Struthio camelus: one gene and its partners. The protein of the gene in region 1 interacts with the protein of each later gene in a pairwise test. Links are inferred from orthologs where the notes say so. Each region holds a gene or a part of one and is shown on either strand. Other genes may lie near its edges. The genes, in order: NCK2, WASL, ABI3 and REL.

What was found.
Region 2: the proteins of NCK2 (region 1) and WASL interact in binary tests that used the Homo sapiens proteins (3 or more experiments, as listed by UniProt). The two-hybrid records come from large-scale screens. The link is inferred for Struthio camelus from reciprocal best matches to the Homo sapiens genes NCK2 and WASL.
Region 3: the proteins of NCK2 (region 1) and ABI3 interact in binary tests that used the Homo sapiens proteins (3 or more experiments, as listed by UniProt). The two-hybrid records come from large-scale screens. The link is inferred for Struthio camelus from reciprocal best matches to the Homo sapiens genes NCK2 and ABI3.
Region 4: the proteins of NCK2 (region 1) and REL interact in binary tests that used the Homo sapiens proteins (3 or more experiments, as listed by UniProt). The two-hybrid records come from large-scale screens. The link is inferred for Struthio camelus from reciprocal best matches to the Homo sapiens genes NCK2 and REL.

Annotation. Positions count from the first base shown.
Region 1 is NC_090942.1:154,295,170-154,302,973, reverse strand, and holds the start of NCK2 (cytoplasmic protein NCK2), read right to left. Parts: upstream 3,015-7,804; 5' UTR 2,652-3,014; intron 1-2,651. UniProt on the Homo sapiens protein: Adapter protein which associates with tyrosine-phosphorylated growth factor receptors or their cellular substrates. Maintains low levels of EIF2S1 phosphorylation by promoting its dephosphorylation by PP1.
Region 2 is NC_090942.1:24,923,028-24,930,672, reverse strand, and holds the start of WASL (actin nucleation-promoting factor WASL), read right to left. Parts: upstream 3,016-7,645; 5' UTR 2,546-3,015; coding exon 2,423-2,545; intron 1,257-2,422; exon of another isoform or gene 1,115-1,256; coding exon of another isoform or gene 1,034-1,114; intron 1-1,033. UniProt on the Homo sapiens protein: Regulates actin polymerization by stimulating the actin-nucleating activity of the Arp2/3 complex. Involved in various processes, such as mitosis and cytokinesis, via its role in the regulation of actin polymerization.
Region 3 is NC_090966.1:5,218,399-5,225,920, forward strand, and holds the start of ABI3 (ABI gene family member 3), read right to left. Parts: upstream 3,014-7,522; 5' UTR 2,996-3,013; coding exon 2,879-2,995; intron 1,957-2,878; coding exon 1,789-1,956; intron 1,032-1,788; coding exon 855-1,031; intron 445-854; coding exon 362-444; intron 251-361; coding exon 155-250; intron 1-154. UniProt on the Homo sapiens protein: May inhibit tumor metastasis. In vitro, reduces cell motility.
Region 4 is NC_090944.1:131,632,774-131,640,546, forward strand, and holds the start of REL (proto-oncogene c-Rel), read right to left. Parts: upstream 3,005-7,773; 5' UTR 2,990-3,004; coding exon 2,938-2,989; intron 1,536-2,937; coding exon 1,393-1,535; intron 1-1,392. UniProt on the Homo sapiens protein: Proto-oncogene that may play a role in differentiation and lymphopoiesis.

The DNA of each region.
Region 1 (7,804 bases):
CAACAGAGGATACAAAAAAACAAGGGATGGAAAAAAAGGAGACTGCTGACCTTGTTCCTCCTCTTTAGCAGACATTAGTTGTGAGATGACACGTAAGATAGCAAATACCTTTCCTTACACTCTCACACAGCTAGCCAGGAAACTATAGAAGAAAATAGTGTGAGGAGGGAAAACGGACAGTAAGTTCCCTTTTCATTGCAGTAACAAGCCAAGGGCTGGAGTTTCAAATTAATCAGATATTCGGTAGTGCGAACACAATGCAGGCGACCATGCAGAGTTCTGCTGTTATTATTGGAAACATATAGAAAAGGAGATTTTGTATAACGTTGTATCATAACAACAACTGGAAATAGCATCTACTATAGGTAAAAAGCCAATGTAACAGCTAACATTGCAATGAGAGAACAATTACAGCCTACAGAAAATATTTTAACATAGGCCATGAAACAGATAATTACAGTCTGGACTGGTACAAGTGCCTTCTATCTCTACATTTATTCACAGTTCCCAAAAGTGACATCCTCTGTCAAAGTTTCAAGAAGACAAAGTTATAAAGACAAAACAATCTCTCCTTGGGGTAACAAAGCTTAAGATGTTATTACTTGGGTCCGACAGAAGATTTCAATTTCCAGAGTTTTAAGAACAGTATTTCTAAGAAGCAAAGTCATTTTACGTTAGAAGTTACAATCCTCAAAACAAAAACGCAGTAGCATTAACATTATCTACATGGTGCTGCCTGCTTAGGATCCCTAAAAAGCAGTGGTAGAACTAGCACTTTTGAAAAGAAGTTCTTAATAAGCTCCCACCCGGTAAGCCCTTTCAAATTCCTCCATATTAAGTCACCAGGCCAAACTCTCAGTGATATAAACCATGCGTGGTCAGGCCATGCAGATTTGTTTTTATAAGGGCATTACCATGTTTCATGAAAGAGACCTCTAATTCTCCTACATTAAGCAGTTACAAGAGTAGGCTCTCAGAAACAAGTGTTGCTTCAGAGCAAGTAAAAGAAACTGAATCCAGTCAGAGGAGCAATGCTTTAAATCTGTGCTGAGCTTTAATTAGCGTTCAAGTTTTAACCTAACAAACAAACAGGACGATTTGGAGTTAAACTACTTTTGGTTCACAGTATAGCTCTAATAAACACAGAAGGCCATATGCACTATAAAAAAAAACTAGTGGGAGATCTTAGCATACAAACTACAGTACAGAGGCACACATGATTCGGGTCACAAGTCAAACCTGAATTACAAGGCCAAATCCTCATCTGACAACTTTAACTGAGGTGGGCCACTGTACCCAACCTGCCAGCAAAGGTAGCTGTTTGTGTGGTCACACTGTCAATTAAAAACAGGGTAAAAAGATTTATAAACGCAAATATTTTTCCTCTCAATAGCCCCAGAGAGGTGGTACGTTTTGAACAAACGGTGTAATTTACCTATGTTGTGCTGCTGCAGCTTTTTGTCGTTTACCTACGTTAACATCAGTGTCGACTGATGTGGCGTATTATACCAATGTTCACTCTATCCCTCAGAAAAAAAGCGGAGGGGGAGAAAGGGAAGGCTTAGATCTATTAAAGCTGAAAGTAACCAGTGGAATGGGGGGCAGGGGGAGAAAGCAACGACAGTATAGCGGTACAGTTACCAGAATATTCCCACCCTGCAGGGGGTAAAGCTCGTTTGTTTCCAGTATTTTGTTCCGAACAGTGTCAGGCGCTGGGTTTCCCTTATTTAACTAATGGAAACGACCTACCGCTTTTAAAGCACTTATACGGCCCACTCCCCCGGACCGAGCCGCCGCCGCAGCAGCTTTTGGACACAGAGCACTTTTGTCCATGCCCTGAATACCAGGGATAATTCTCCAGAAAACTTTTTTTTTTTTTTTTAAACGCTTTTGACGGTGGTGCCGGTGCTACCCGGCTGCCCTCCTCCCAAGAGGGCTCGCGTAATGAAAAAGGAAAAAAAATAAAACAAAAGAAAATAAAAAGGAAGGAGGAAAAAAAGAAAAGGGCATTTCCCCTAGATTTACCCATGCCCAACGCGAGCTCACGGGCGAAGCCAACTTTATTTGTCGGCGGAGGTTATTCCGTGCCAATCTCTAGGCGAGTATTTTTATTTATCTCCCTAATCTTTGCCCTCGGGTAGCAGCCACCCCGGGCCGGGCCGGGCCGGGCCGGAGCGGAGCCCCGCGGGGGCGGCCCTGACACCCCCTTCCCCCCCGCAGAGGGGGGCGCCCCGGCCCTCAGCCAGGACGGCGGGTGACACAAAGCGGCGGCTGTCACACACAAACACACACAGGCCAACTCGGCGAGGATGAGGAGGAGGAGGAGGAGCCGCCTCTGCTCCTCCATTTCCCCCCCCCACACACACACAACGCCCGCGGCTGGACGTGGCACAGAAAACGCCCCCCCGCCCCCCCCCCCGCGGCAGGTAAATCCCCCCCACACACACACACACCCCGGGAGGAGGAGGGGGGGGGCCGCGAGCTCCCTCCCCCCCCGCCCCACCTCGCCCTGCCAACGGCCGCTCCCACCCCCCTCCTCCACCCCCGCCCCCCCCCCCCCCCCCGCTCCGGCCGCCCCAACGGCCCGCGGCGGCCACCACAACTTTGCGGCGGGTCCCGTCGCGCCCTGCCCTGCCCGCGGCCGCGCTTACCTCGGCCGGCGGGCGGGCAGCGGGGCGCTTAGTAATGGCAGCGGCGGGGAGGCTCCCAGCCCAGGCGGGCTCCGCTTCTTTGTCTCGGCGGCGGCGGCGATGCCTGCCTGCCTGCCTGCCCGCTCGCTCACCCCTTTCCTTCCCTCTTCCCTTCCGCGGGCGGATGCGGGCTGCGTCCTCCGAGAGGGGCCGGCTTCCCTCCCCCCCCCCTTTTCCCCTTCCTCTTCCTCCACCGCGCAGCGCCGCTCCGCGCCGGACGCGTCCAAGGCCCCGGCCCTCAGCGGCGGCTCCGCTCCTGCCTTCCCTCAGCCTGCTGCGCCCGGCGGCAGCGGCGGCGGCGGCAGCATCGGCCCCTCCCCCGCCGCCCCCCCCCCCCGACACAGCCCCCGCCCCCGCCCTGCCCTTCCTGCCGCTGCCGCTGCCGGGATGGCGCGGGAGGAGCTCCCTGAACTCTTGCCTCGCACCCCGGGAGCGCTGCCGCCGCCCGCCCCGGCCCTCCCGCGCCTCCCCGCCGCCGCCGCTGCTGCTGCGGGCCGGGGGCTTCCCGCTGGGCGGGGCCCTGCGCCCGCCGCGGAAACGGTCTCCCCTCGTATCCCCCAAACCCACCATCCCCTCCCCCATTTCCCGACACCTCAGGAAACCCGGCATCCCCAGTGAAAATCCCCCTCGGCAGGCAGCGGAAGCGCTGGGGAAAGTACCGGCGGGAGGCTTAAAGGAAACGGGGGGGGGGGGGCAGAGGGCAGCGCCGGGAAGGAGCCGCCGGGGCCGCGCTCGCCGGACCGGGGTACCGAACCGGCGACCCGCGGGGAACTTTCCGCCTTGGCATCAGGGCGCCCCCGCCGCCCATTGGCCGAGGGCCGTGACGTCACCGCGGGGCCCGCCGCGGGGCGCGGAGCGGGGCGCGGAGCGGTGCGCGGCCTCCGCCGCCGGTGTTGCCGTGCGCCTCGCGGCCCCTCTCCTGCTGCCGCTGATTTTTATTTTTATTTTTCTTAACCTCTTTCTGCCCCGCTGTAAACTTCCCAGCCTTCCCTCCCGCTTTAATCCGCGGGGCTCGCTTGCCTGCCCGGCGGGAGCTGGAGGTGCTCTGCGGACAAGGGCGCTCCTGCTGCCTGCCGACTTCTGCAGCCGCTTGGTTTTTCTCTTGAAACGCCACCGCGTGCAGTGGGGATGGCGCGGGCAGCGCCGGAAGAATTTTCCACGAGTGGCCAAAGAAGGATTTTCCCACAAATGGTTAAAGAAGACCAAAAAGAGAGGGGGGGAGGAAAAAAAAGCAGTCTTTGAGAATGAAATCTGTCGTGGAAAGGATCAACCCTCTTCGTGTGGCTGCCAGTCGCAGCAAGTTGTGGTGTAGGGGACAGTTTCTGCCCTGCCTCCAGGAACTGGGCTTCCTCTTCTCACAGGCAATCCTCTGGCAGGGTCCCCTCTAGGGGAAGGGAAACGTTTGTCCTTGTGGAGGGAACTGGAGAGTTTAGAAAAGAAAATCAATGTTGCAAGAGGAAGTCACTTTGAAACAGCCTGAAACTTGCAAACAATTAACCAGCTTCCACACATGCCTGCTCTGGAGAAGAGGCTTGTGCCTTGCCAGGGCTGGTTTAGTCTTTCTTCAGGTCATTTTTCCTGGCTTTGGAGGCAATAATATGCAATGCCACTTTTTCTAAACGCGGAGTAAATTCAGCAGTCCCCAAGAGCACTGTCTTATTTTCGCTGACCAAGGGAAAAATAGTGGGCAGAACTCAGCGCACAGATGTTTAGTGCTGAAACATTCCGGTATACATGTAAAAAAAAACCTTACTTCTTCTGAGGTTTTTTTGTGTTCCTTAACAGTTTATAAGCCTTTGAATAATTCCCTCTTCCTCTTTTTAACTTTTACTTATTCCTGCAACGTTTAATTGATGGTTTCAGATGTCCTAGTTGCCTTTCACGTGCCTGTTAGATAAAACTGAAAGAAAAATGCGGTCCCTTGTTTCCTCCGAGGAAGACTTTGCATGCCCCTCAGGGAAGAGCAGAAAGCCCCTTTCCTTTCAAGTCTTTTGCTGCACACGTTTGACTCTGATTCTGAGAAGTGTTAATCTCCCTTTCTGAGCAATAATCGGACAACGCTTTTTTTAGCCTGAGAAAATATTTGGGGTCCCAGGAATAGAAATTAAGATTGTGCTGTGCTCCCACTTCATGCAGATGAAGGCTGCATCGCTGCGGGCTGAGGCCTTGCTCGAGCCTCCCTTAAGGCTGGAGCCTGCGAGTGCGAACTCTGAATTTGAATGGGAGTGGTTGCTCAAGGATTTTCAGAAATAAGTCTCTGTGGTTCCCGGAGCAAAACGCACTGCGGGTAGCAGTAATGGAAAGCTGAATTATCCCTGCTCTAGTTTACATTTGTAATATACAGTTAGTTTCCAATTTCAGTTTTGTCCCATCTTGCCCCTCCCTGCTAACTTGGCTGTATAGAAATCTTCTGCTTCATTGTTTTTTTCTGCTGCGCTGTTGTGCTGAGGATGCACAGAGGAAGATGACATGACTACAAAGAGTACACAATCTAAATTAGATCTCTGAAAGGGTTCAGAAACATAAGACACCAAATGATCAGTCGATCTCAAAGCTTTCTAGGTGTCTGAAAAAATTAAAAAGCGCACCTAGCTGTAGCAGATTACTGCTAATAGGATTTATAGAAGAAGAATGTTTTAAAGAGGGATTTAAATGAACACATTGTCTTCATGCAAAGGACTAATTTAAGGACCCTGAAGCTTATTGTTGTTAAATATATTTAATTATTTTAAGGAATGAGCCATTAAAGATGGTTTTCCAAACTGTGGCTTATGACAAAGAAAAGATACTGTAAAAAGGGTTTGGAATGGTATTTTGAAAGGTATTTTAACAGCCTGTCTACTGAAAGTATCCTTCTGTTTCGCCAGCAAAAAGACTAACATGCTGCTTTGACTAGTATTTCAAAATGTTGAGCCTACTGAAATATTAATGTACACATTTTGAAATATCATAATTAACTGTTATCTCTAGAATAACTGTTACTTAAAAGATCTGAATCAGAATTAAATTCTGAATGTGAGAAGATGATAAATTTGGGGGAATCTGCACAGAAGTGAAAGCAATACATGATGTAGAGGGCACAGTATTTTGTATAAAGAAAGTAAATATGCAAAGTATACACTTTTGCATATGCATAAGAGTGGTGCAGTCCTTAGAAAATATATACACTGGAGAGAACAGCATGAATATTTCTCTCAGCCTAAGGCTATAACTGGATAGTAAAAATAAAGGAGAAAATGGTTAGGCAGTGGAAAGCTCTCTCTTCATCTTTGTTAAAGAAGCAGTCAGCTGTGTACTCCTGCCTAGAATAGGGTTACAGTCAAACAACAAAGCTAAAGGTTGTGTGACAGATTTACTCCATGATTGCATAGTGGCAGTCAGTTCATCTTGATACTCATAACTTGTACAAGAGGTTGAAAATTTGTATTTATCTTTCCTGTTTATCTTTACCTTTCTTTTTTTATGACTCCCCATTTTCTGTTTCATATGTAATGCTACCTGTGCTTTACCACGCGCCCGGAGGAGCGGTCGGTTGCTCATGGAAGGCAATGCAGCCGCCGTCTCTGCCACAGGTTGCAGCCTTACACATCTGAGAAATGCTAATACATTTGCACCTCACAGTGGCTAGGCCACGATTGCCACCTCTGAGGTGGGACTCCTTCCCCGTTCTGCACAAATACCTTATCCTTTGTCTAGATACTTCTGTCTTTCTTTCTTTTTTTTTCGCCAGCAGCTCTGTCTAGCATATGAATTAATACAGGCTGCCTTAGGCCAGTGTGAGAAGGAGGGTCTGGAACATCCTTCTAAATTCTGGAAGACAGCATTGTCCAGCTCAGAGACTGACAGTGAAGATACTTCGTATCTCCATGTCAGCGCATTGGAGAGAAAATATTCCTAAATCTAAACTCATTTATTTTGAAAATTGTTATTCCTGCTTCTCAAAACTGCTTTTTAAAGGAGATGATGTTATAATAAACTCCATTCATTTATGTGGGGTTGTAATTCTATGCCACTAAGAAAACGAAGAGATAAGGGAAGTACTAGATACGCTGGAAAAAATAACATACCTTTTAATTCTTTCTCATCTGAAAAAAAAAGTTCATCTTAAAAACAACTTTCAGAAAATTTCCCAACTTGTGATTAAGTTAATTTAAAAATGTTGAAAGCAATGTTAACGTGCGTTTTCTCCCCCCAGTCTGGTTCTTAAATGGTATGCATTCCCACATGTCATATAGGTTCTGCTTAAAGCATATGCTTGATTCCCATGTACACAAAGGGGAATTACATGACCGCTACGAGGGGAGAATACATCTCAAATACTCAATTAGTTACTGCTGAGTCACTTAAGTATATTTGCACAATGATTCTAATTCAGCCTGACAGTAACACAGCTGCTTTTCTCACTTGCTGCATGACTGCTGCATCTTCAATGACATTTACAAAGAACATTGAGGGGAAGAACGTGTCCTTAGAGCTCAAAATGCATCCAAATTCTCCTATTCAACGGACCAAAGCTACCCAAAGGTGCTGTAAAACTGCGAGCTAAATCTATCAGCAGATCACATTGTATTATGATAAATTCTATCGTAATCTTTTGTAGACAGTTGCTAAGGTTCAGTGTATTTCTGTAAGGAAAACAAACCCGTGTTTTGGGCTTTGGAAATGTCAGGGCCCTTGATTCTCCTGCTTATTTGAAAGTGAAAGTGTGCTGAGGGATGTCTTTTGAAGTCTATTCAAAGGTTAAAACTGATCTTTCGTACAGTTTTGAAATTCAGAATATTGCTGCTGAATGGCTTGACTGCAGCACAGTCTCGATTTTAGATTTAAACGCCAGATACCTGACCGGAGCCCGTGGCAGCGCCGCCCTGCAGCTCGGAACGAGCAGCGCAGAATAGCAAGAAGAGGGTAATTTATGCTGGCAAAATATAATTGCCCACACTGGAGCTTGCTCAGGACTGCAAGCTAATATTCTCCTCTCATGGGGAAAAACACACAGGGAGAGGCAACTTAAGAGAAGCAGGGTGGGTTTTCAGTTATGCAGAGATCCGGTAGGTGACACAGCTGCAGAAGCAGTAGACCCTCCACTAAATTAGACCACATACGCCCAGGGAACC
Region 2 (7,645 bases), about 130 Mb from region 1:
GTAATATTTACTGTCTAAAGCTTCAATAATGACTAATTCCAAACATGGATATTACTAAAATATCAAATATAATGTTATAGTAAAGAACAAACAAACAAACAAAAAAATAGCATAGCACACTGACACTGAGTTGTACTCAAATTAGAAGATCAACGGTATACAGAGTACCATACAGCTCTGTCAGACTTGATGGATTCAAATTGGAAAGTCGAAGCTGTTATCATCCCCAGGTACCTATCCACTGCTGTCCCTGGGATAGAGGTGTTCAATTTGTTCACAAAGTAGTTTCTGAATTGCCACAATTTTGCCTCAGCATGCTAAAGAAAGCCAAGAAGTCTAGAGTACTATCTTTGATAGTCTTCTGGACCCAAGTCCTCAAGCATATGATATAGACCCTCAATTACAGTAAGATGCCTGACCTTAAGCTAGAAAACATATAGGGCAGGAGAAGAAGGGTAAAGGGGGTGGCCATAATTAAAAAAAAATAATAAAAAGAAATTCTCAGTTAGAAAGTCATTCAAGATTCAGACTAAATGGCAAGAATGTGTAGTCTCAAAAAAAAACCAAAAAACAAAAAAACCCTGTATCTATAAAGCTATCAACATGTCACAAACCACACATCATCCAGACACTATGAAGTTGTTTACCTTGAGGCCGGTTTAACTTATCCCCATAAATAACACATTTCAAAAACTTAAGATGAGCGTTACAGCTGAGCATACATAACAAAAACAGACACATTCCCTTGACAAGAAAATCTAAGCCACAGAAAAAACAACTGGAAATCAACTGAAGCACACAAATTCATGTGCTTCCTTTTAATATAGACAACAGTTTACTTTTTTTCTTGTAATGGAATGAAATGCATGAAATGTGTGCCTGAAAGTAATTCAAGTAGTGAGATAAAGGTGTTTCTTACAAATGTATTACTTTTTAGCATAAGTCTCTTTTTACATATTTCACAATCACGCTTTCTGACCCATCTGAAAATGGCAGCAACTTAATTATGATAACCTCATGTTACTTAACTCACCCCAATGCAAACATCACCCATTTCCTGTTCGGTTATATCTCTTTCCTTCCTTGCAACAACCGGTTTGATCAACAGCACCATTTCAAAGTCCACAGGGTTATGTATTATGATGACACCGATATCCTGCTTTAAAATAGTGCCACAAGAAGGTGTAGGTGCCTAACGTTGCTGTTCTAGGCACTGGACGTGAAGTATCAGAAAACATCAGGATAGCATCATTTAAAATGGCTTCAAAAAGATAATTTGAAAAATGATAAGTCCTTTAGGAAAAAATATATGCAGTTAACTCCTGAAGCTCTGAAAATTATATTAAAACTATACTTCATAACTACATTATATTAATAGGCAAGAAGCTATTCAAGAAACTAAGAACTTACTGATGAACTTGGGAACACATCTACTACACCTTTCCCCCCCCCCACCCCTTTTTTAATCTTGATATCGCATTTCTTTTTTGACAGGGAGTAACGCAGTATTGAAGTTGCAGCTAAAGATGCAAGCCTGTTGATCAGGCTAACAAAAGCACAGGCTACATCCAAGGCAGGCCTAGTACCCACACGAGCCTTCCTCCAACTTTGTCAGTATTGCTTTGTTGTACCACAGGTGCAACCGGGACTCATGTCAGCCTCGTCAGGCAATTAAACTCTTCCACCGAGTGCTGCTGCAGCAGCTCCATGGCTGCCCCGTCCCCTCGGCCAAACCGCAGGCTGGTCGCGGGGCAGAGGCGAGGGGGCTCGCCGCCGCCGCCCCCCGCAGGACAGGCCGGGCAGGCGCTGGGCACGGCTGCCGGCGCCGCTCCAGAGGGCCGCCCGGAGAAACGGCCGGCGCCGAGCGGCCCCGCGCAGCCCGCGGCGGCGCCAGGCCCGGAGCGGCCCAGCCCGGCGCCCCCGCAGCGCGCACGGCTCCCGCACGGGCAGGGGGCCGGGCCGGGCCCGGCGCGGCGCAGCGCTTGCGGGAAGCGGCCCCCTCTGGCCGCGGCAGCGCGGGCGAGGCCCCGCCACCTGCGGGCGGCGCGGCCTCCCCTTCCCTCCTCTCCTCTCCCCTGCCGGCGGCGGCGGCAGCGCCACGCTCGCCTCATTCATTGCCGCCCGCAGCCCTCCTCCTCCTCCGCCTCCTCCGCCGCCGGCCCCGCGCGAGGCCGCAGCTCCTGGGCCAGGCGGGCGCGGAGGCCGGGCCTGCAGCGCCGTCCCCCGCCCGGGCGCCGGCGACGCGGAAGGCGGCTGGGCCGGGGAGAAACTTCCGGGCTGGGAGCCGCGTACGGGCCGGCCAGGCGAGGCGAGGCGAGGGCGGACAAGGTCCCGGACGCGGTCCCCCGCCTGTCCTCACACGGCCCCGGCCCCGGGCCGGGCCCGGTCCCCCCCCCGCCGCGCCGCTCCCCGCGGGGCTCACCACGCATTTCTTGCCGAGGAAGGTGAAGAGGCTCTCGTTCTCCTGCGGGGTCAGCAGCAGGGAGCCCACGTTGCTGACCCGCCGCGGCTGCGGGGGCTGCTGCTGCTGCTGGCTGCCGCTCATGGCCGGCGCCGGCGCCGGCCCCGCGGGGCTCGGCACTGCCCTCGCCGCGCTGCGACCGTCGGCGCCCGCGGCCGCCCCCTCCTCCTCGTCCTGCTCCTGGCCGCCGCGGCCTCACGGCAGCCGCATCGCGGAGCCTCCCTCTCGGGGCCGGGGAAGGCGGGAGGGGGCGGGGGGAGAGCGGCGGCCGGGCCTCGGCGAGCTGCCGGCGGCCCGCGGGGGAGGGGAGGGGAGAGAGGAGGCGTCGGGCCGCCCCGCCGCCGCCGGCGGATCGCGCCCACCCCCGCGGCGGCCACTAAACTTCCAACTTCGGCCCGGCTCCGGCGGCCGCACAATCCAACATGGCAGCGGGGGCGGGCGAGACCACAGCGCGCGGCAGCCAGAGGGGAGGCCGGCGAGCGCGCTGCTGCCGCCGCCGCCGCCGCTACCATGCGCGGTGCGGGGACCCGCCGCCTGCCGTCCCGTCCCGTCCCGTCCCGCCCTGCTCCGCCCCGCCCCGGCCGGCAGCCCCTGGGCGGGCCGCGCTGGCTCACGCAGCTGGCGGGGGCCGCCCCGCGCCCTCCCCCCTCAATACCTGCCGGGCCGGCTCGGCTCGGCGGCTGCTGGCGGAGGGGGCCGGGGCCGGGGCCGGGGCCGGGGCCGGGGCCGGGGCCGGGAGGAGCGCGCCCGGCCGCTGGGCCCGGAGCGGAATCCAGGCTGGCGGCGAGGCGGCGGCCGGGCCGGACGGGGAGCGGTGGCGGGGGCTGAGGCGGCGAGGTAGCCGCCGCTGCCCACCCGTGTGAGGAAAACGTGTCAGAAAAATTCGGGCCCGTACTCAAAAGTCACCCGGAACGGGACAGGGCATAAAAAGCGTTCGTGGTGAAACCCCCCCCCTCCGCCGTTGTCGTTTTTGCTTAAGTTCGTTACCAACGTGAGCGCGCAGTGTGGTTGGCTTCGTGCAGTGCTTTGAGGATGGAGGTGATGAAGAGCGTGTTAGAAGGCCAGGGTTGAATTCCTGTTAAATTTTTAGTCAAATGTGAGTTAATTTATAACTCAAAAATCCTTTGAATGTTTGTTATTGAAAGGAAAATGTTTCCTGATGGCTTATCTGGCAAATCATCCAGTCAGTTTTGCTGTTCCAAGCTGTGTTGCGCGGGGTGGGTAATTCCTGCAGCCTTTGCTGCGCAGAGGCAGCTCCTCCGTGCTCGGTCACACAGAGACGTAGGAGGGGGTGTGCGAGACTCTACCCTCCTAAACACAGGCTTTTGCAGTCTGAGGTAAAATAGCAAGTAGAAATAGTAGCAGGTACTTAGGCTTTCCAGGGGGTCAGCGCAGAGGAGCTGCGTACGCAGTCGGTATGCTTTGCCAGCTAGGTTTCTGTTCCCTCTGCCTCTCTCCGTGCAGTAGTTGCTAGCCAGGATGGAGCTGAAGACCTTTCCAAGCCCTGCAGTCCAGAGCACAGCTGCCCGCTGCCCAGGCCGACTTGCAGCTCCGCAGGAGAAGTGCTCATGCTCCTCCCAGTATGAAGGTGAAAGCCAGATGTCCAAGTGAGCACCCTGCTAGTTCTCTCAGTATTTTTAAGCGAAGAATAGGTTGACTTCATCCTCTCTGATAAATTTGTTGTGCATCTGGAAAATGCCAAACCAGTCTTCCTGTGATGATTTACTTTGTATTAAAAAAAAAAAAAAAACAAGCACAGGAGGAGAACGTGTGAGCACAAATCTTGGTACGCAGTTGTGCTGACTTTCCTTCACATCTTCCAAAAGATCAGGCGGGAACAAATGGCAAACCCTTCTGCACTGCTTCTAGGCCCTTTTCCCCTTACTTAAAAGAGCCTGTAACAGTGTTTGAAAGTGTGAGGAAGGGGAAATGTATGGGGGAAAATCCTGAGCCTCCAGTACAAAAGGTTAAAATAAAGGCATATACAGCATTCCTCAATGTGCAGATGTCATGTAAGTGGCTAGGGCCTTTGTTATAAAGGAAAAACACTGAATAGGACCCAAATGCTTACAACATACATTTCAGCAATAATAGGTTATTATTCAGTTTTAATTCCTTTTCCGTGTAAGTGTATCCAGACTTAGAATGTATTTTAGTGGAAAGGGAAATATTTTAGTTGAAGTGTATTAGAATTTTGGCAGCATTTCGTTCATTGAGAACGTATGTGAAAAGATAACAGATATGAACTACTTTACAAGGCACTTGTTTTTTGTTTCATAAAGCAATGAGTTATTTTATAGCCAAAACCCTTTCCAAGGAAATGTATGTACTTGTATTGGTGGTCACAATGTAAATAGCTGAATTAAAAATATGGTAGGCCTCTGATAGGTACTTTCCTCACCTTGACCCGTTAAGTTTAGTGATGTTTTTCTCATTTTTGTTCATGTTAACTGTTTATTCCTTGTTGTATGGATCTTTGCATCCAGATAAAGTTTTATTGTTACTGGTGATACTTTTTGCTTCATAGTGAGTGTTCTTCTCAGACCAGCTGGCCAGTAGCTATTCTTAAGGGCCCTTTAACCAGACTCTGTTGTTAGGATTTTGTTTGCTTTTTTTACTAAGGGTAGACAGGAAGGGGGGGGTGGGAAGGGGGGACTATTTTCAACTGCTGTGTTTCATTAATTATGCAAAAGCCATTTCTGTTTTTATATCATGGCAAAAGAGTGAGTCCTGAAGTGAAATGGAAATATCAATAGTTGGTCGTAAGTCCAAGGGACCCACTGAAAAATAGATTTTTGCCTTTGATATTTACATTAGCAGTAATACCAGCAAAGAGCTGCTATTTCTGCGTAACACATCCAATTTCAAGGAAAGTTCTTTTAAGCAAAGCCACAAACCAGAATTACCTGGCTATCTTTGAAAGAAATTGCAGTGTTCTGGCTGACCTGTCTTAGAGAAATTGCTGTCCTTTATCATAGGCTTTGCTCTGAATTTCTCACTGTAGTCCCTAAGGTTGAAACTGCGTTGCCCACTGCTGACTCCTACAAGCTTTGCGGCAGCCTGATGCTCATTTGTATTTTTCTTTCAAAATTGTTAAAATACCAGCTCATAGTCCCAAGGTACTGAGCTACGTTGAAAGTGACATACATCTATTGATATAAGCAAGTGTAATGATTTTAAAGGTTTATATTGTAAACAACTATTTAATAAACAATTATTATCCTTGTCAAACATACCTTTGACAGAAATATATGTCTCTGAATTCTACCCTTACATATGGACGTCTACATTTTTCAACAGTTTGTCACAAGCACAAGTTGAATACTATAACTATTCTGAAGTCGCGTGCTTTGAATTTCAGAATTTACGTATTTATACAATTTCAGAAATAAAATTCTGCAATTGAAAATAATAAAAGCAAAAAAGAGAGGAAAGCATTCTACCTAAGGTTGATCTTTCTAGCACTGTGAATCATAGCATATTTTAAAGGTTTTGTGAGGGTCACATTCTAAAACATAACAATTAATTATCTAAATGAAAGAGATGAAATGTTTCCACTCGGAAGCAGTTCACCAAGGATTTTGTCTGTTTATTTTTAGTAGTGGCACTGCATTTTCCAAGTCTTGATTTTGTCCCAGTACTGAATTTAGGTCACGCAGTCTTTGGTGGTTGATTACACGAAGAATAAGCAGGCTTAAAGAGGAATGAAGATCTCAATAGGAAAAAAATATTGTCGTCTCTCTTCCATTTTATATTCAATGAGAAGTGGAACAGCATAGTACAAGTGCCTACATCGTTGCAGTGACCACATAAATATGGCTGGGGGGAGAAGAGAAGTAAGAATGTATGATTACTGTCACCACGTTTAAGGGGTATGTCAACAGGATAGTAAAAGTCTGGGCAAAAGGAAAGAAGACCTTGTTTCCTTGAGCACCCTTTTTGGTTGTGCCTGTAGAGTTCGCTGGTCCATTTACTGCAAAACCACTTGTGGTAACCAAAAAAAAGGAACTCTCATTGTGGTTGAAAATAATGTTTGATTTGTGAAGATACAAGTTCCCTTTTTTAAGTAAACCACTTTTTTTTTTTCTCTCAACATAGAACTCATCTAAGAGAATTGGTTTCAGATTGTTACTGAATCAATATAAATAGCATATTAGTTATTATACTGAAAAGAAGTTCATTCGCTTCTGCTCTCTGTGCACTGAACCTTTAAGTGCTTAAGAATCTCAGCCTACTCTGGAAGTAACTGAATCATCTGTTAATTTATGGTTAGTTTCAGATGCAGTTACTGTATTTCCTTTCTCACAGAGATTTTATATTTGATTATTTGTTCAGGAGTGGGGGGAGGGAATAGTCTGGAATAAACAGAGCCAGGAGTCTATATTTGTTTTTTTTCCTATTTATTGAATTTATATACTAAACATTTCAGGCACGGAAGGACATGAAGTAGCCACAGAAGTTGCAAAGTTGGCAGTTAAGTTTTATTTTAATCATCCAGCAAAGCCTCTGATAATTCCTTATGCGTATGAACCTGTAGGGTTAGTAGGAAGAATCGTTTCCTTTTGTGGGCCAGCCACGCAGAAGAGCGTCCTTGCCACTGGAATGAGCAGGCTAAAGCCTGAGAACCGACATAGCAGGACAGTAAGTTCTTTCATTCATTGCATAAATGCTGCCTTGGGTACTAGCTAGAATTTTTCTTTCCCTGTATTGCCTGTTACTCATTTCTTTCTGGTTGCTGTATCCTTTCTTCTCATTTTCAATATCGGACTGTTGACTTTAAGGTGAAGGAGAAGAATTTGTGTCCTTCCGTCCTGCTTACCAAAGGATAACATTGATTTTGCTTTGGATGAAGAATCATATTTTGGATATACTGGTGCAAGGTTTCGGCGGTATTGTTTTAACTGTGAAATCAGTCAGGGGGAGACCTAGCTCTTTTCAAGAGCTCCTTTCTGCTTCCTTCATTGGACTGTATTATCCTCCTTTTCAGGGCTGTGGAGAAGACAGACCAAAACACATACTAGTATCTGAAACATCCTATCTCTCCTCTTAATAATTCTCTGTTATACAGGTATGCTGATCGCTGGCTGCAGAAACTGTGGCACATTTCTGTAGCCGCTCTGCAAATCAGAGGAAAACATTTTTCTTTCCCAAGCTTAGCTAGAATCTATCCTTGCATCAAAGCTC
Region 3 (7,522 bases), on another chromosome or scaffold:
GCGTCGCCTGCGCCCAAAACCCGCTTGCTCACGGCAACACCTTGGCGGGCAGAAGCCCCCCCCACTCCCCCCCCCAAAAAGGAGCAGGGTGGCGCCGTGCCCCAGCGCAGCCCTCCCGGCACCGTCCCACCGCGGGGGGGGCCCGCGCCGGTACCTGGCCGATGCCAGCGAGGAGGTCGAGGAGGCTGCGGACAGTTTCCCTTCGGGGACCACAGGCGGCTGGATGGGCTCCGGGACGCGCAGTCCCCTCCTGCGGGCAGGGAGGGTGCTGAGCCCGGCCGGAGGTGCCGGCGGGGCAGGATGGGACCGAAAGGCAAAGCCGCCCTCCCCCCCCCCCCAAAATCCCGGCGCGTGGCCTCACCCCAGGGTGCCCGCGGCCGGCACGGCCGACTTGATCCCCTTCCGCGACAGGGTCCCCGTGCGGGACAGCTGGGTGCTGTGGTCCTGAGGGCGCAGGGCAGACACAGAGCGAGAGGAGCAACCAAGCGGTGAGGCCCGACGGGCTGCCGACCGACAAACTCATTGCACCGAGGCGCGCCTCCCCCCCCCCCAAACAAGGCTGCAATCCCCTCAAGCAACGCAATGCCCCCCCCTCCCGCCCGCCCCCCCGATCGCCCGCGGCCCCGGCAGGGTGCTGGGGGCTCCGGAGGAGCGTGGCCAGCCCCCGCGGCCCTGCCGGGGAGCACCCGGGCGCTCGCGGCCGAAGCGGCCGCCCACGGCGGCCTTGGCCCCGTGGGAACGGCGGCGGCAGCTTCCCCTCCGGCGGTCTCGCAACGGGAAGCGGCCGCCCGAGCTCGGCTGCCACCTGGCCCCGCGCCGCGTCCCCCCCCCCCTGACCCCCCTCCCCGGCCGACCTTCACGCCGTGCCCGACGTCGTCCAGGACGCCGAAGTTGAGGGGTTTCCTGTAGTAGGGCTCCAGGCTGGGCGGGTTGGCGGGAGCCGTGATCTTCTGCTGGCACGGCAACCTCTTGCCCACGGTCAAGGAGCCGATCTCGCGGCGGGACACCTTCTCCTTGTGCATGTCAACCATCTGCGGGGACCGGCACTGTCCCCCGCCGCAGCCCTGCTGGGTCCTCCCGACCCCCCCCCCAGCCATGGCCACCTCCAGGTCCCACCACCCCGTGGGTCCAGCCCTCCCCAAACAACGCGTAGCAGGGAAGGACCATCCCGGGGCAAAAGCTTAACGTGGGCTTGAGCCGCCGCTCGCTGGCCCAGCCGCAGCCCCGCCAGCGCCGCGGGGGCAGATCCGCTCTGCGGCAGCGGGGACCCACCACCGCGTCCCCCCCCCACCACCACCGCCGCCACCAGCAGCGCTGGCCCTTCCTAAAGCGGATGCGGCGGCCGGGCCGGAGAAGGGCACGGAGGCACGGGGCCGCGCGTCTCGGCCGCCTTTAATCCGTTTTCCTGCTGCTTCCGGAGCGGTAGGTCGGGATCCTTCCAACAGGAAAGCCTCCAGGCGACTTTCAAGTAACAGGAAGAGGGCGGGCGGCTGCAGGGCACCGCGCCGGCGGCCGCGGCTCCCGGAGGATGAGGCCGGGCCCCCGGGATGCCTGGGCGACCGAGCCAACATCCTTGACCCGGCGGGGACCTCGTGGCCGTGGTGGGGCTATTCCTGCAGGGCTGGACTTCCTGCTACTGCTCACACAGTGGTCTCCACCTCTACCGGCCTTCACAGACCCCCCCCCTTCCTTTCCTAGAGATCATCCCTTTTTCAGGGCCCAGGGACCCAACCCCAAGGCAACGAGGAGACAGCATCAGTCTGAGGAAATGGCCTAAGATGGCCCCACCTGGGCCACACAGCTGATGTCGGCCTCCACCCTCCGGAGCTGGGCCGCCTGGAGGTCCAGCATCTTGAGGAAGCTGGTGGCCAGGTTGCTGATCTGATAAGCCACGCTGGCCAAGGACTGGGTGCTGTAGGCCATGGTCTCCTCCAGCGCCTTCCTCTTGTCGCTCGCCTGGGAGACAAAAACACACCCTGGTATGACGACTCAACCAGTTGGCCAACGCCAACCCAGCTGGGCGGGGAGCTGAGAGGGTCCCCACGAGCTCCACGCAGCCTGGCTTAGCGCTCCCAAGGCGGCGGGGTGGCACCGTCCCCTCGCCAGCACACAGGCAGGGGAGCCCACCGGGCTCCGGCAAGCCACCCCGCCGCGGGCGGCGCTGGCGCTGCGGTCGGCCCCTGCCCGCCGGACGCGCGCCAGGGGGGCTCCCGCCGCCCAGCCCGGCTGGCGGGGGAGCTGGGGTTGACCCAACGTGACGCTGCAGGCCGGCTTCTCTTTCACACGGTACGAGGAGAAACCGTTTCCTTCTGCTTTCCGACCGCTCCCCGCCACCGAGCCGTCGCGCCGCCCTGCCACCCGGCGCCGTCGGGGGTCTTCTCGTCCGCCGGGCGGCTGGGCTTTAATTGCTCACGGGGCTGCGGCCATGCTGCAGACGTGGGCCGGGGCCCGGCCCCCAGGAACCCCCCCCGTCCCCAGCCCCGATGAGGCTGCTTTGCTGCCGCTGTGCGATTGGGGGGGGTCTGCACCCACGGTCCTCGCCGAGGGTCTCTCGGGAGGCACCGAAACCCCTCTGAGGCCAAGACAGCTTCTGCCTCGCCTCCGCTCCGCAGCTCAGCCCCCGGAGCGCAGCCCGGAGCGGAGCAGGGCAGCCGCCCTCCCAAGCAGAGGGGGGCAAGAGGGGAAACTGAGGCACGAGCCCAGCACATTCCCGGCGGCGAGCACCGCTCGGCGGGAAGCCAACGGGGAGACCCGAACCCCCCCCGCCGGTACCCGAGGGTGCATCGCATATCTGCCACCCCTGAGCCCCGCGTGCGCGGGGAGCAGCTCCCCGGCGGGCAGCCCCTCCGTGCCGCCCCCCACCCGGAGCCCCGCGCACCTGCACGTAGTTGCTCTCGCAGTAGTCGGCCACTTGGCCGAGGTTGCTGCGGTTGTCGCGCAGGAGCCGCCGGGCCGCCGGGATGTCGCGCTGCTGCAGCTGCTGCAGCTCGGCCATGCCGCCGGCCGCCGCTCGCCTGCCGCTTCCCTCTCCGGCGCGGTTTCGAAGCTGACGCCGGGGCGGCGCGGGCCCCGGGGGCGTGGGTGGGGGGAGCGGTGCGCGCCGCCCGGCCCGGCCGCCCGCCGCCGGCACCCTTCACATGGCGGCTGCCGGAGGGCGCAGCGGCCGAGCGCCCGGCGAGCGGTCGTCCCGCCGGCGCCTGCCGCGCGCTCCCGGCGCGGAAGGATGTGAGTCACGCTTCGCCGCGGCAGCCTGGGGAGCCCCCCCCCCCCCCGCCGGGGCCGCCGCCGAGCCGGCTCGCCTCCATCCCCGCATCCGTCGGCCCATCCCGGGCTGCCACCCGCGGGTGCTGGCCTGCGCCGGTGCCCGGGAGCACCCGAGAAGGGCCCTGCCCTGCCCTGCTCGTGCCGCCGCTGCAGCAGCAGGGGCAGGACCAGCGCTTCAAAGCCCCGCGCGTACTAGAAACTGATAGCTCCTCCTTATCACGCAGGCGAGCGAGGTACCCAAGGCTCCCGCTTCAACTCCCAGGCCTTGCTCACTGCCCCAAAAAAAAAGACCTCGGACCCCTCGCTGCGGGTCGCGCCGGCCGCCGGGGCCTCGCCGGGCGCAGAGGGGCGTTTGCAGCAGCCGCCGCGTCTTAGACCTCGGGCAGCCGAGCGAGGCGCGAGCAGCGCCCCCCCCCACGCCGCGCCCGGGGGCAGAGTTAAGGACGCGGCTGGGCCGACCCGGGCTGGGCACACAGGGGACGCGGCCCTCGGCCTGCCCCGAAACCCAGCTGCGCTCCTCTCCCCTCCCCACGCTCGGCGAGACGGGCTCCGGCTCCCGCGGGGGATGCTCCCGTCGCTCCCGAGCCGCAGCGCCGGCCGCGCTCGGGGGCTTCCCGCGTGCCCCCCGGCCGCCGTGCTCTGCTGCGCCCCTGCCTTGCGCCCCCAGCCTCGCCGCCGCCCCCCCCCCAGCACCCCGGCCTTCGAGGCTAATGCTCGACACCTGACCAGCTTATTCGCCTGAGTCTATTATCAGATTAGGGAGCAAAGACATCTGCTGCCTGGTGGCGGCTCGGAGACCTGAAGGAGTCTTCAAGCCCGGAGCAGGGCAGCGAGCGCCCGGAGGCTGATGCATCCCTAAACGCGTCCGTGTCGCAGAGCGGGAGACCCTCGTCCCCGCAGGTAAGGGGCTTCGCTTCCTCCAAGCGGGGAGGACGTCGCTGGTGCCTCTCGCTTGGCTCGGGAGTCACCTCCGCCATGGGCAGGTCGCGCCGCTGCTGCGGCTTTCGGCTCCTCCGCGAGAGCCTCCCGGTGCCGGTGTGCTGGCGGCACCCACCGCGAGCGGGGCACCCACTGGAGCAACCCGTCGGGGCCCTGGGGGCGCGCAGGCTCGACGCCTGCCAAAGCAACGCCAAGGCATCACAGCCGCGTTGCTCTCGAAAAGATCGCGGCTTTCAAACCCCGCTTTAACTTTTGACGCGGGACCGGTTCTTCCACCGCGCAGGGCGGCTGCCCCGGGGATCTCGCGCAGCCCGTGGGCAGGGTCTCTGCAAAGAGCGCGCGAAGCCCCGAAACCTCCTCCCGCAGCAAGCGCTGCGTTGCAAACAGCAACGCAGGGATGTAGTCCATGGTATTTACCTTGGAGGGTCCCATCCTTTTCCAAACTTGGCTTTAGCTAGAAAGTCTTTCTCCTCATCTGCGACGGTTTTATTTATTGAATTCCCGAAGTACATGTATTTCTTACAAATGCCAGGTGCAAGCAACACATCTATGTGCTTGCTACGAGCTAGTGGAAGGACTCTGGGTTGTTCCATCTCTACAGATGTTACAATAAGTGGTGCGAAAAGTGCACCCTCCCTCTCTTTTAGCTTCAACCCATTTACTCAGGGTCTACCCGTCTCGTAGCTGGGCCATTAACAGAGGCGGCGATATGGTTAGGGCCAAAGTGACGGGTCCGGCGTGCCTGGACCCGAGAAGCTCGTCTGTAAGCTAATAACAGGCCGTTTCTCTGCCGTCGCAGGGCAAAATGGCTCAGGATATGACAGAGAAGGAGCTGCTGAAGATGGAACTTGATCAGCTGAAAAAGGAGGTGAAGAATGAGAGGCAAATGGTAAGCATTTCCACCCAAGTTCCCCCCGGGGCTGCGGGTTTGCCAACGGAGGAGTTCGGCACGAGCGAGCTCTTCCGAGAAGCTGGGGCGATCCTACGAGAAGGACTCGGTCGCACTGGGCCACCGGGTCAGGTGTTCTCAGGGCTCCCCAAGGGTGCTGCGGGGGTACCCGCACCCCGCGCTGGGTGGCACGGGAGCGACGACAGGCGGCTGTAGGGTCGCGCTCCCGCCTGTTGCGCGAACGGGGATCTGCTCAGCCCACGAGTCGGATCGCTGTTCTGCGGTGACATTTTGTCCCTGTAACCTACGGGGAGCTTCTGCTCGGCAGATCTCCAAGACCGGCAAAGAGCTCAAGGAATACATCGAGTCCATGGCGGGAGAGGACCCGCTGTTGAAAGGTGTCCCCGAGGACAAGAACCCGTTCAAGGAGAAGGGCGGCTGTACGATAAGCTGACCCCGCCGCCGTCGGGGCCCGGGGCCCGGGGCCCTTCCCGCGACCCAGCCGAGACTGTAAGAAACCTGCTTTCCCTGTAGCCTGACCCCACACTGGGGAGGGGAGTCCAGACCCAAAATGTAGCACAGCTAAAGGATGACAAAAGAAAAAAAAAAAAGGCAAATTAAAAAAAAATAAAACTAAAACCAAACCCACAGACCCCGGAGATGAGGTTCAACAGCCAGAGCTATGGGTGCGTTTGTGCTCTCACAGCAGACTGAAGTTTCGTTTCCTGCAAGCAAAACTTCTGCAGTTTTAGCAGCCAGCAGCAAAACGGGGCTTTAACAAAACTGCAGGGCTGGAGCGCGTCCGGGCTTAGCCTTCTGCAAGCCACCAAAGCTGGAGCAGGCGCTGAGCCCCCTCCCCGCTCACTGGGACAGAGCGCCGCTTCCCCAGTGCAGCGCTTTTAGGTTGGGAAACTTCCCCAGGTCCCCGGGTATCGTCCCGGCAGGTGAACCAGGCTGCCCACTACAATCATTTGGGAAGAGCGATGATATTTCGGAGCCCCATCCTGTTCCCCCTTGAAGGCTCATTCTGCCTCAAGCACATCACCCCCAAAACAGCCATTCCCTTAGGACACGGCTGCCCCCTCCAAAGCGGGCAGGGGAGGGCAGAGCACCCGAGAGCTGGCAGCACCCCGGCGCGAGGGGCTCGCGGGACGGGCTGGCACCCACCCTGCCCCATCTCACGGCTCGACCCCACGGATGGCCCGGGGCACGGTGGGGGGATGTCACGGCACACAGGGCCCCTGGGAAAGAGCAAATCTCCAAGCTTCCTATTCGAAACTCTCACCGTTGCCGCTCAGTCTCACTTCCTCTGTGGGGAACCCCCGCCACCCCCAGCAGCCGTGGGAGCACAAGGCTGTCAGGTCCCGGTTGCGATAGCAGCAGCTCTGAGCGAGGGCTCAGCTTCAGCAGCAGCTCCATCTCCAACCACATCCTTCGCTGCACGCGGAGGTGGTGGAGAAGGGCCTGGGAAGGGTGAAGGGGCTGCAGAGCCCCAGCCCACGGTGGGGAGTGGAGACAGGGAGGAGCCGGTGGTTCAGGGGGCCGACGCAGGCACACTTCTGCCCCCACTTCTGCAGCTCAGCAGCTCCCGGGTATTAGGCAGGACTTGTCCAGAGGCCCAGCCCTGAGCCAGGGACGCTGGCAGCAATCCTGCTGCTCCCAAGAGCAGGTTGCAGCCCCCTGCTCGATAGACAAAGCACATCGGATGGGAACGCAGCCAGTTTCCACATTCAGTAGGACAATACTTAGTGACGCTTTAAGTTTTTGGGGTTTTTTTTTTTTAAATCTATTACACATGCATATTATCTTTAGGAAACCTCCCCAAAACAATCCCAGCTGATTAACTCCAAACAGCAGCAACTCTTTTTATTCCCCCAAGGCAGCACCCACCCCCGTCTCTGCTGCAGATCCCCCATCACGCTCCCGCTCCGTGGCAGGTCCGGCAGCACCGTGCCCCACCGCCGACTCCAGCCTGCCATCTCGCAGCAGCCATAGAGCACCAGGTTGACCCCCAGCCCCACCTCCCCAGGGCCCAAATTTCCTCTGCTTAGAGGCTACATACACACAGTGTCTGATTTAGACATAGCAGAGCTGAGGGCCACAAATTCAGGGCATGAACAAACCGTTCCCTTCTCCTGCGGGACAGGAGCCTTGGGAGGAGGTGGCAGCGTAGGTGTCACCTGCTGCATGCGCCTGCATTCGGGGGAGCACCCGTGCACCGCGGGGAGGCAAGGCGGCAGCCGCCGGGGCTTTGGGAGCACCGTAGAGACAGGGCTGGCACTAGTTTGAAGGTGAGCATATTGCTTTTGTTCCCATCTGGAGGTGCCTTAATGAGCGGTGCAGTCCCGCTTGGCACAGTCCCTCCGGGAAGCCCGTGGAGCAGGGGAGACCCGCAGCAGCCACTGGGGTCAGGCCCAAGGACGCCCCGAA
Region 4 (7,773 bases), on another chromosome or scaffold:
AGAACAATTGAGCAAGATTTCCATAGTTTCCCTTATTCCTTCACCAGCTCTGGCACTACGCTAGCCAAGGGGTTGCCTTCTTACTTGCTTGTTCCTTTAGCGATTCTGGCTTCAGGGTTAGGCCAGCCTGGTCGCTCTGCGTAGTAGCTCACTCTGCTGCTCAGCACACCCGTTGCCAATACCATCGTTCTCAAACTCTCCCCTTCTCAAGGAGGAGGCTGAGGCTTTTATGCCTCAGCTTAGAACATCCCATATCTTTCAGACTTCACCTCCCCTGTATCTCTCTCTCTGCTGCAATTCCAAAGACTCCATCTTTAGCTCCATTCTTTCCACACTCTCACACACTGCAGACACACAGACGCACAGCTTCCATTCCTGAGGACCATAATATACTTCAAGATTGCAAATACTGATGACTTCCCTTTTATACTTGAACTTTCTGTTCTTATCGCAACTCTCAAAGATTCTCTCCAGATTGTAAGAGATAAAGGAAAACCTATCAACTTAAAACTTCAAATAGCAAACCAGAAAAACTCTTCTGTATTACCCTACCCATCTAGGACTTCCCAGACACATTCCTTTGTCCCACATGTAAAGGAAACAACAGCAAGATTGGCAGTTAACTTTCACAACATCTCCAAAACACTTCCATCCACCTCCGCTGTCCATACCTTTGTCTCTGCTTTGATCATAGCTGCCAGGACTAGCCTGAATCCCTTCATTCTGGATTTCCCAACCTATCCTTAATGCAACCACCCAGCTCTTCTTCACCCGCAGGTGCTCTGACCACATAATTCCCCTTTCTCAGCTCCTTTTTAAATTCTGTATCCCCTTCTGACTTCATATACTTCACGGTAGTTTCTGTTGCAGAAACTAATCACTGAATCACTGGCTGCAAGTCACTTTCTTACTTTACTCCTTTCTACAGAGTACTTTCTTTCATGCTGCACCAGCAGTGAGACTGGCCTTTTCAAAATCTGTACACGGACAGCCTCCTTCAGAGCCCTCCCAAAATTCACATTACAGTCCAAAACAGTTAAATTAAACCCAAGGCACAAAACTAAGAAAGCAGAACATGCGAACATACAGAAAAAGCTAAAAACAAATGATTCTCCAACACTGAGTAACATTACTTTGAGTTCCCTCTGTACTGGTGCTTTGTTACCTACCTGTACATCATCTTCTGTTCTGCTAAATGTGGAGCAAAATCTTTAATGACCAGCAGCAAAGAACTCCTTTTCCAATCTGTTTCAACTACATTTGGATGCCCAGGAAAGACTGGCACAGCATGAAATGAGGAACATCCTCTTTATTTACTGCATCAAATCAAACGCATAGCTACAGTACAATGCTAATGTGGGCAATGATAATCCTGGATAAAAGTAGTATTACCTGTATGGAAGGGAACGTCTTATTGTTTTCTGTACTGTGTTCTCCTGGAATGCTGCCTGCTGATCTTCCCTCACATTTGTATCTGAAACGCATTCCCCTTTGCCTGGGTTGTTCAAATATTTCAATGTAGGGTTCAGGGCCACCTTTAAAAAAAAAATGAAACACTTTCAATGCTAGTAGTAGAGACTAAAAAGCAGCAGAAGGCAAGCTACATGGTTAGCTGCTACATAAGAATTAGAAAATCCAGATGCTTTTATTGATTATTACCTTTATTTCATTTGGTCTACCTTGTCAGACAATCAACTCTTCTTTCAATGTGTATACACGCAACCAAAGGTGAGGGGTAAGGAGGGGACAGCAGATTTAAAATGAAGTGTCCAGGTATCAATGCCATGTAAATAATCAGCAGAGGATTCTGCCCTCCCTCCCATCTCCCCTGGAACTTAAATTCTCTAATAGCTAAAAGAAATTATGTCTGATAAAAGAGGATTTTATACAACAGAAGAAAAAAAATCATTATTTCAAGGGAACAGTTGATATTTTTTAATTACAATACACTTTTAGGAATGGTTGTCCTCTCAAAGTACAGGTACTGTCAGTAGTATGTTCTCTTGAATAGCCTCTGAAAGTAAAGATATTTCCTCAGAATCGATTGATTTAGTTCCCATTATAGTGAAGCAGAAACTATGCAAATTATGAAAGAAAAAAAAACAGAAAAAAAAATACAGAACCCCCCCACACCCACTGCTACTGGTTGAGTACCATCACTGAGGGTCTCAGAAAATACACGATTGCTGGTACTGCAGTTTGACCTGCCCACTTCCCACAGGGCTAGCTTCTGGTTGCAGGATCCCCCATACACAGAAAACATCTTAGTAAAGACTACTGGGCAGTTGTCAAAAGAGGCTTTTCAGGAAATGTGACAGACAAGAATGAGAGACAGCAGCTGTTTTTAATGAAAGGTTTAGAAAGACTTTTGACTTAGCATGAGTTTCGCTATTTTAAAGTAATGTTTTACTGACAGCCAATATATTCAAGGTATCGAACATATCTCACTGAGAACAGCCAACAGGATAGTCAGTCAAACAGTGACAACAGTGGGATGGCATGTGAAAAACAAATAACAGAGGGAAAGTAAATATTGTAGAAGTTGAATCATCATGGTGTTACACGATCAGAAGAACACAACTTGTCACCTTGCTCTTACTTGTATGTATGTTTTACTTGAAGACATTTACAGACCGCTATGGAATGGCAGCACATGAAAGGAGCTCTGATGCTGGCACTGCCTTCAACACTACCCGCCTTTCCAAAGTCCGTCAGCTGAATGCCTTTTGAAGGGCAAACTGCATTTCAACTTCAGGCTGTATTTGGTGGCAAAATCTGAGAACGACAGTTTCACGTTGCTTTCTAACCTTTTATCAAAATGGCAATAACAAAACTGATCACCTTCCATCCAGTAGATTTTAAGTCAGTTTCGGAAGACAGACCCTGCGCTGTCACATTAAACACATCTCAGCCACTACTCTAGCCCCAGTTACTCACAAGGATGGGCAATTTTACGTGTGCCTCTCAGATCCTTCAGATAAGTTTTCATATTTTCTCCTTCTGGAAAACAAGCAAATCCAGCAAAGGGTGAGGATGGATGGACAGTATTAACAAAAAAGCCTAGAATTCGTGCAAAGCTGGCTGCAGAGAGCAATCAGATGCCTCAGCTCCTCACAAAGTCAAGCCCACACATCAGTGTACGACTATGCAACTTTCACACGTAAAACTTACTTATGCTAACACATATATCAGGTCGGTCCAGTGGACAATAAGAAGAGTGACTGTTGGGTATTCATTAGCCTCCCATCTCCATCACGTAAGCGAGGAGAGAAAAGAATCTCACTTTTCCATCCCTAGATAACACAGCGTATCACAAATACAGACATATATCTATATATTAAATTAAAAATCTATTTTAGATGTTACGGTGACAAAACTGGAGTAAAGTGCCTAATAATCTTCTTTCTTTGGAGACAGACACATGCTTGCATAGCTGCTAAACAGACCCACAACACACCCACATACCTTACGTATCTGTCAAAACTAGCTAGAGCCTTGCTGTGTGAAATTGCTATAGTACACAATAATTTCAAGTCTTTAACTCTCTCTGCTTTAACCAATGATTTCCCTTCACGCTCTACTTACTAATACTCGCTTAAGAGGACTTTTTTTTCTCACCCGTTAAGAGCACTTGAGTATTTTAGAACTCTGGGCTCAATGATCTTTAGGGGACTGCGGTCGAAACAAATGTCATTGAAGGCAAACCCACCGCTTAACAGCAGGTGTGTTTGTGGGAAAGTTAAGCTCAGTGACGCGGTAGCCTCCAGAGATTAAATATTAAACTTCGTTTTATCTTGGTTCTCACTCTCTCTATTTAAGAATCATGTTATTATCTCCACCACAATTATTTATCAGTGTCATCATGTCTTGTGTAGAGAGGAAACACATAAAAGTGGTTGCGTGAACTAAAGGTATTATCAGCACTCTGCAGTGAAGTGGAGGTCTGTTCAGTGTTCCCTATTTCTGTAAATAAGCAATGTACTTGTGAAGTGGCACTGTTTAATTATTTCATAATCTACACACACACACACACAGTTGCTGGAGAACTGTCCTTTTGAGATCTTGTTTTGTTTGTCAAAGAAATATGAGCTATGTCAAAAATTGACACTCTTCCACCAATCCTGTAAGAGAAACGTAAGGCTCCTTATATTACCTATTTGCCCGCATCTACTCAGCCAAGGGTTTGAAATGGAAGCAAAACAAAAATCTAGCTAACCCTTCATTTAAGGAGACAGAGCTTTAGAGTTTCATCTGCGTTTGTGATTATAATTGCCTATGCACGTACCAGCAGTAGAAATATTACGCTACATATTACAAACTGCCTCTTTTCATTGTAAAATTGTTGCCCCCCCCATCAGTGCTCCAGTAAATAATTTAAAAGGAAATGCAGGAGATCAAGTGTCCCAATTACACAAGCAAGGAAAAAAGGTAACAGCACTGAGAGTTTAGCCAGCTTACACTCGTTCAAGAACAAAAGGCTGTTATATTCTGAACTGTAGGAGCAATCCAAAAAGGTACAAAAGGACAATCATCCAAAAAAATCAAAACAGACCATCAGACCTCCCCAAGACAAGAAACCTGGGACAGTTTAAAGTCTAACACCCTCTAAGCCATTAGGATTAAAACTAAAGGACATAAATAAAGGCTTCCTACCTATCTCCTACTCCTCCATTCAGAAGCAACTTCTTTAAACATGCCTGCTGAAGAGTTATCAAAGACTAAGTCTTTTTACCCTGGAACGCGTGTTGCAGGCAAGGCAAGAGGAATAGGCAAAGTATTCATCTTAAAATGAGGGTCTGTATCCATAAAGCAGAATTCCTGAGGCAGTGGAGGAGACTTAGTTGGACCTTTGGGATGAGGACGTTTAGAGGTGTGGTGAGATTGGAGGAAGACAAAATGCCACCAGGTAGAGGGACAACTAGACGGTGGATTCATGTTTCCTCTTGTTGCTTTGCTCAAACGAAACAGGCTCTGGAAGGACCACATAATTTGTAGTTTTCTTGCATGGAATACCTGTGAACGTATTCTTGTGCAATATCTGAGTATGCAAGCAAAGTAGGCGTGGGCCACAAGACCAACTCGAACACGACCTTTGAGGAAGATGTGAATACATCACCCAAAAACATCAGGTTTGAGGTAAGTGCAGTAAGACACAGATGGGAAAAGTGCTGCCCTTTAACTCCAGTACTATTGTTCTGTGCAGAACTCTGGTGACTCTGTATACTCCAAAGCAAAAGCCATTTCCAAAAAGTGAGAGCAATCTAAACACTTACAACCTCCTGCAGTAGCTCAGGCAAAAAACACCATGGTACAAGATTTGCTGAAGAACATTCTGGCTCCATCTAAAATAACCCAAAGTGTAAACACATATATATTTTAGAAAGCAGTAACCTACCTAGGACTTCATAAACTGTGCAGAGTCAAACAGAGACAGAACTGCTCATGAACTTCCTCTTTGTTATCGTGTGACATTACAGAATAGCAACCAAAAAAAAAAAAAAAACACACCAAAACCCAGCTACAATAGCTGCTAGTACCAGGAAGTTAAGAACTTCCCCCGCTGAAAAATTCCTTATCTAGTTCCTAATTACATTGAAAATATATTAGAGATAAGAAAAAAGTGCTACCTTCTGCTTCAGTTTAGCCATTATAAAAATACACACACACACACATATATGTAACCTTTATAAGATACCCTCCATACAAACCCACTAATTTTATTTCTCAATTGATAGTGAGCATCTACACGCGTATCAAGAGCACAAAGTTTATACGTTGGTAAGAGACAAGAGAACACACACATTAACTCGGAGGCTGGAGAGCGTCTTTCCCTAAAAACACCACTGTAACTAACACTGTCGAGTCTGAAACAGATTTTTTTAATCCCAAAGAACGATGCCAGAGAACTCCTTTTTTTAAAGATGCAGTTCAATTTAGACTAAAGAAACTTAATGGTGCTTTTTGATGTAATTACTCAAACTTAACGAGCTCCCTTATCTACGTCACTTTGCGTCTAGACCATCTCTGCTCCTTCTCCACTCGCACTCTCAGGAGCAAGTTCCCCTGTGAAGAGGCTCCAGCCGAGCATCGAGGAGTCCCTGGCCCACTGATGTCTGTCCGTCCGTCCGCCCCAGGCCTGAGACCTGCTTACTTAACGCCTCAACGTTTCAGCGACGCGCTTTAAGATTTAAAAGACTCGGATTTAAAATCCGGACAGCCCCGAGACCTTTATTCCGTAACCTTTTCCCCTTAAGCCCACTTAACAAGCTCGGCGGGCAAGGATTTAAGGCCCAAAGCCGACGCTGGGGTGAGGGGCGAAGAGCACGGTCACCCGGCCGCCCCCCGCCCCGACTGCCCTGCCGCCTTGATCGACGGCGGGGGTGGCGGCAGCGAGGGGCCGGGGCCCCCCCGGGCAGCGCCGCGCAGACGCCGGCCCCTCGCTGCCCGAGCAGGGGCGCCCGCCCGCCCGCCGCCGCCGCCGCCCCGCACTCACCGGCCATGCTGACAGCTCCGCGCAGCCGCTCGGGCCGACTGCCGCCGCGGGGCTCCCCGCCCGGGCCGCCACCTCGGCGGGGGGCGGCGCGGCCCGGCCCGGCCCCCCGCGCTGCCTCCGCCTCCCGGCGCGGGGGAGGGGGGGGGATTTCCCCGCTGCCCGCCCCGCCCGCGGGGTGGCGGCGGCGGAAACGCCCCAGGGCGGCGGGCGGAGCGGGGCCGGGCCGGGCCGGGCCGCCCCCGCGCTCGAGCTTCGCCGCCGGGGGGGCCAGCGGAGCGGCCCGGCCCGGCCCCCGCTGAGCGCCGAGAGCGCCCGTCCGCTTGGGCGAACGGCCCGAAGGCTGCTGAGCCCCGGCAGCTTCCCGCGGCAGTTAAAAGCCACCCTGAAAGCTTCGTCTCTGCCTCCCTCTCAGTCTGGGCACCCGGCAGGGAAAAGGAGGAGGACGTCCCATCCCGTTTACCGGGGTGCTTTACCTGAGGCCGAGAGCCCGGGACCCCGCGAGCTGGCACATGCCCTTCGCCCCCCTTTGGGCCCGCACCCCCTCGCCAGGAGCCTTCCGCGTGCGGCGCACCGCTCCTGCGGCCAGGATCGCCCCCCGCTTTTCCAGTGTCCTCACACCATCCTCTAACTCTGCTTTCCCAGCGTCCCTGGCCTCCAGGCACCAAGCCCCCTCACGATCCCTGTTCTCCTCAGGTCCCTGGCACCGAGCAGGCACATGCTGCCACCGGTACCAGAAAGCTACACATACTGGGGATAAAAATGAAGGTAACTAAAAACTAGTATGAGAAAAAGCTTGTTAAATCACAACCCTCAACTTAAAACGTAACTAACTTTCGGAGCATTTCCGATCCAGATCAGACACGAATCTCAGAACTTGGCCCTAGGTCAAATCTAGCAAAACATTAACCGGGTGGGAAGGACTGCCCACCCCGCAGCGTGGATCAGATACACCCGCTGCGCGGGGGCCAGTAACAAATTGGGGCACAAGCAAATTGGGGGGCACAGACACTGTAAAGGGAGGCATGCAGCAGGACATCACAACCAAGCATAGCGGTAGGACACACACGTAGCTCACAACAATAAGATTTTGTTTTTAAAAAAATCTTTACACCACCACAGGCAAAAACTGTATTTAAATAAATTGATATTCTTGAAAAAGAAAGACCTAAAGAGTAACAAGAAAATCAAAGACCACTCAAGCACGGTATGTAATTGGTGTTTTGACTACCTTTATTTATTTATTTTAACCCATGGGTTATCAGGATATATAGGAATTAACC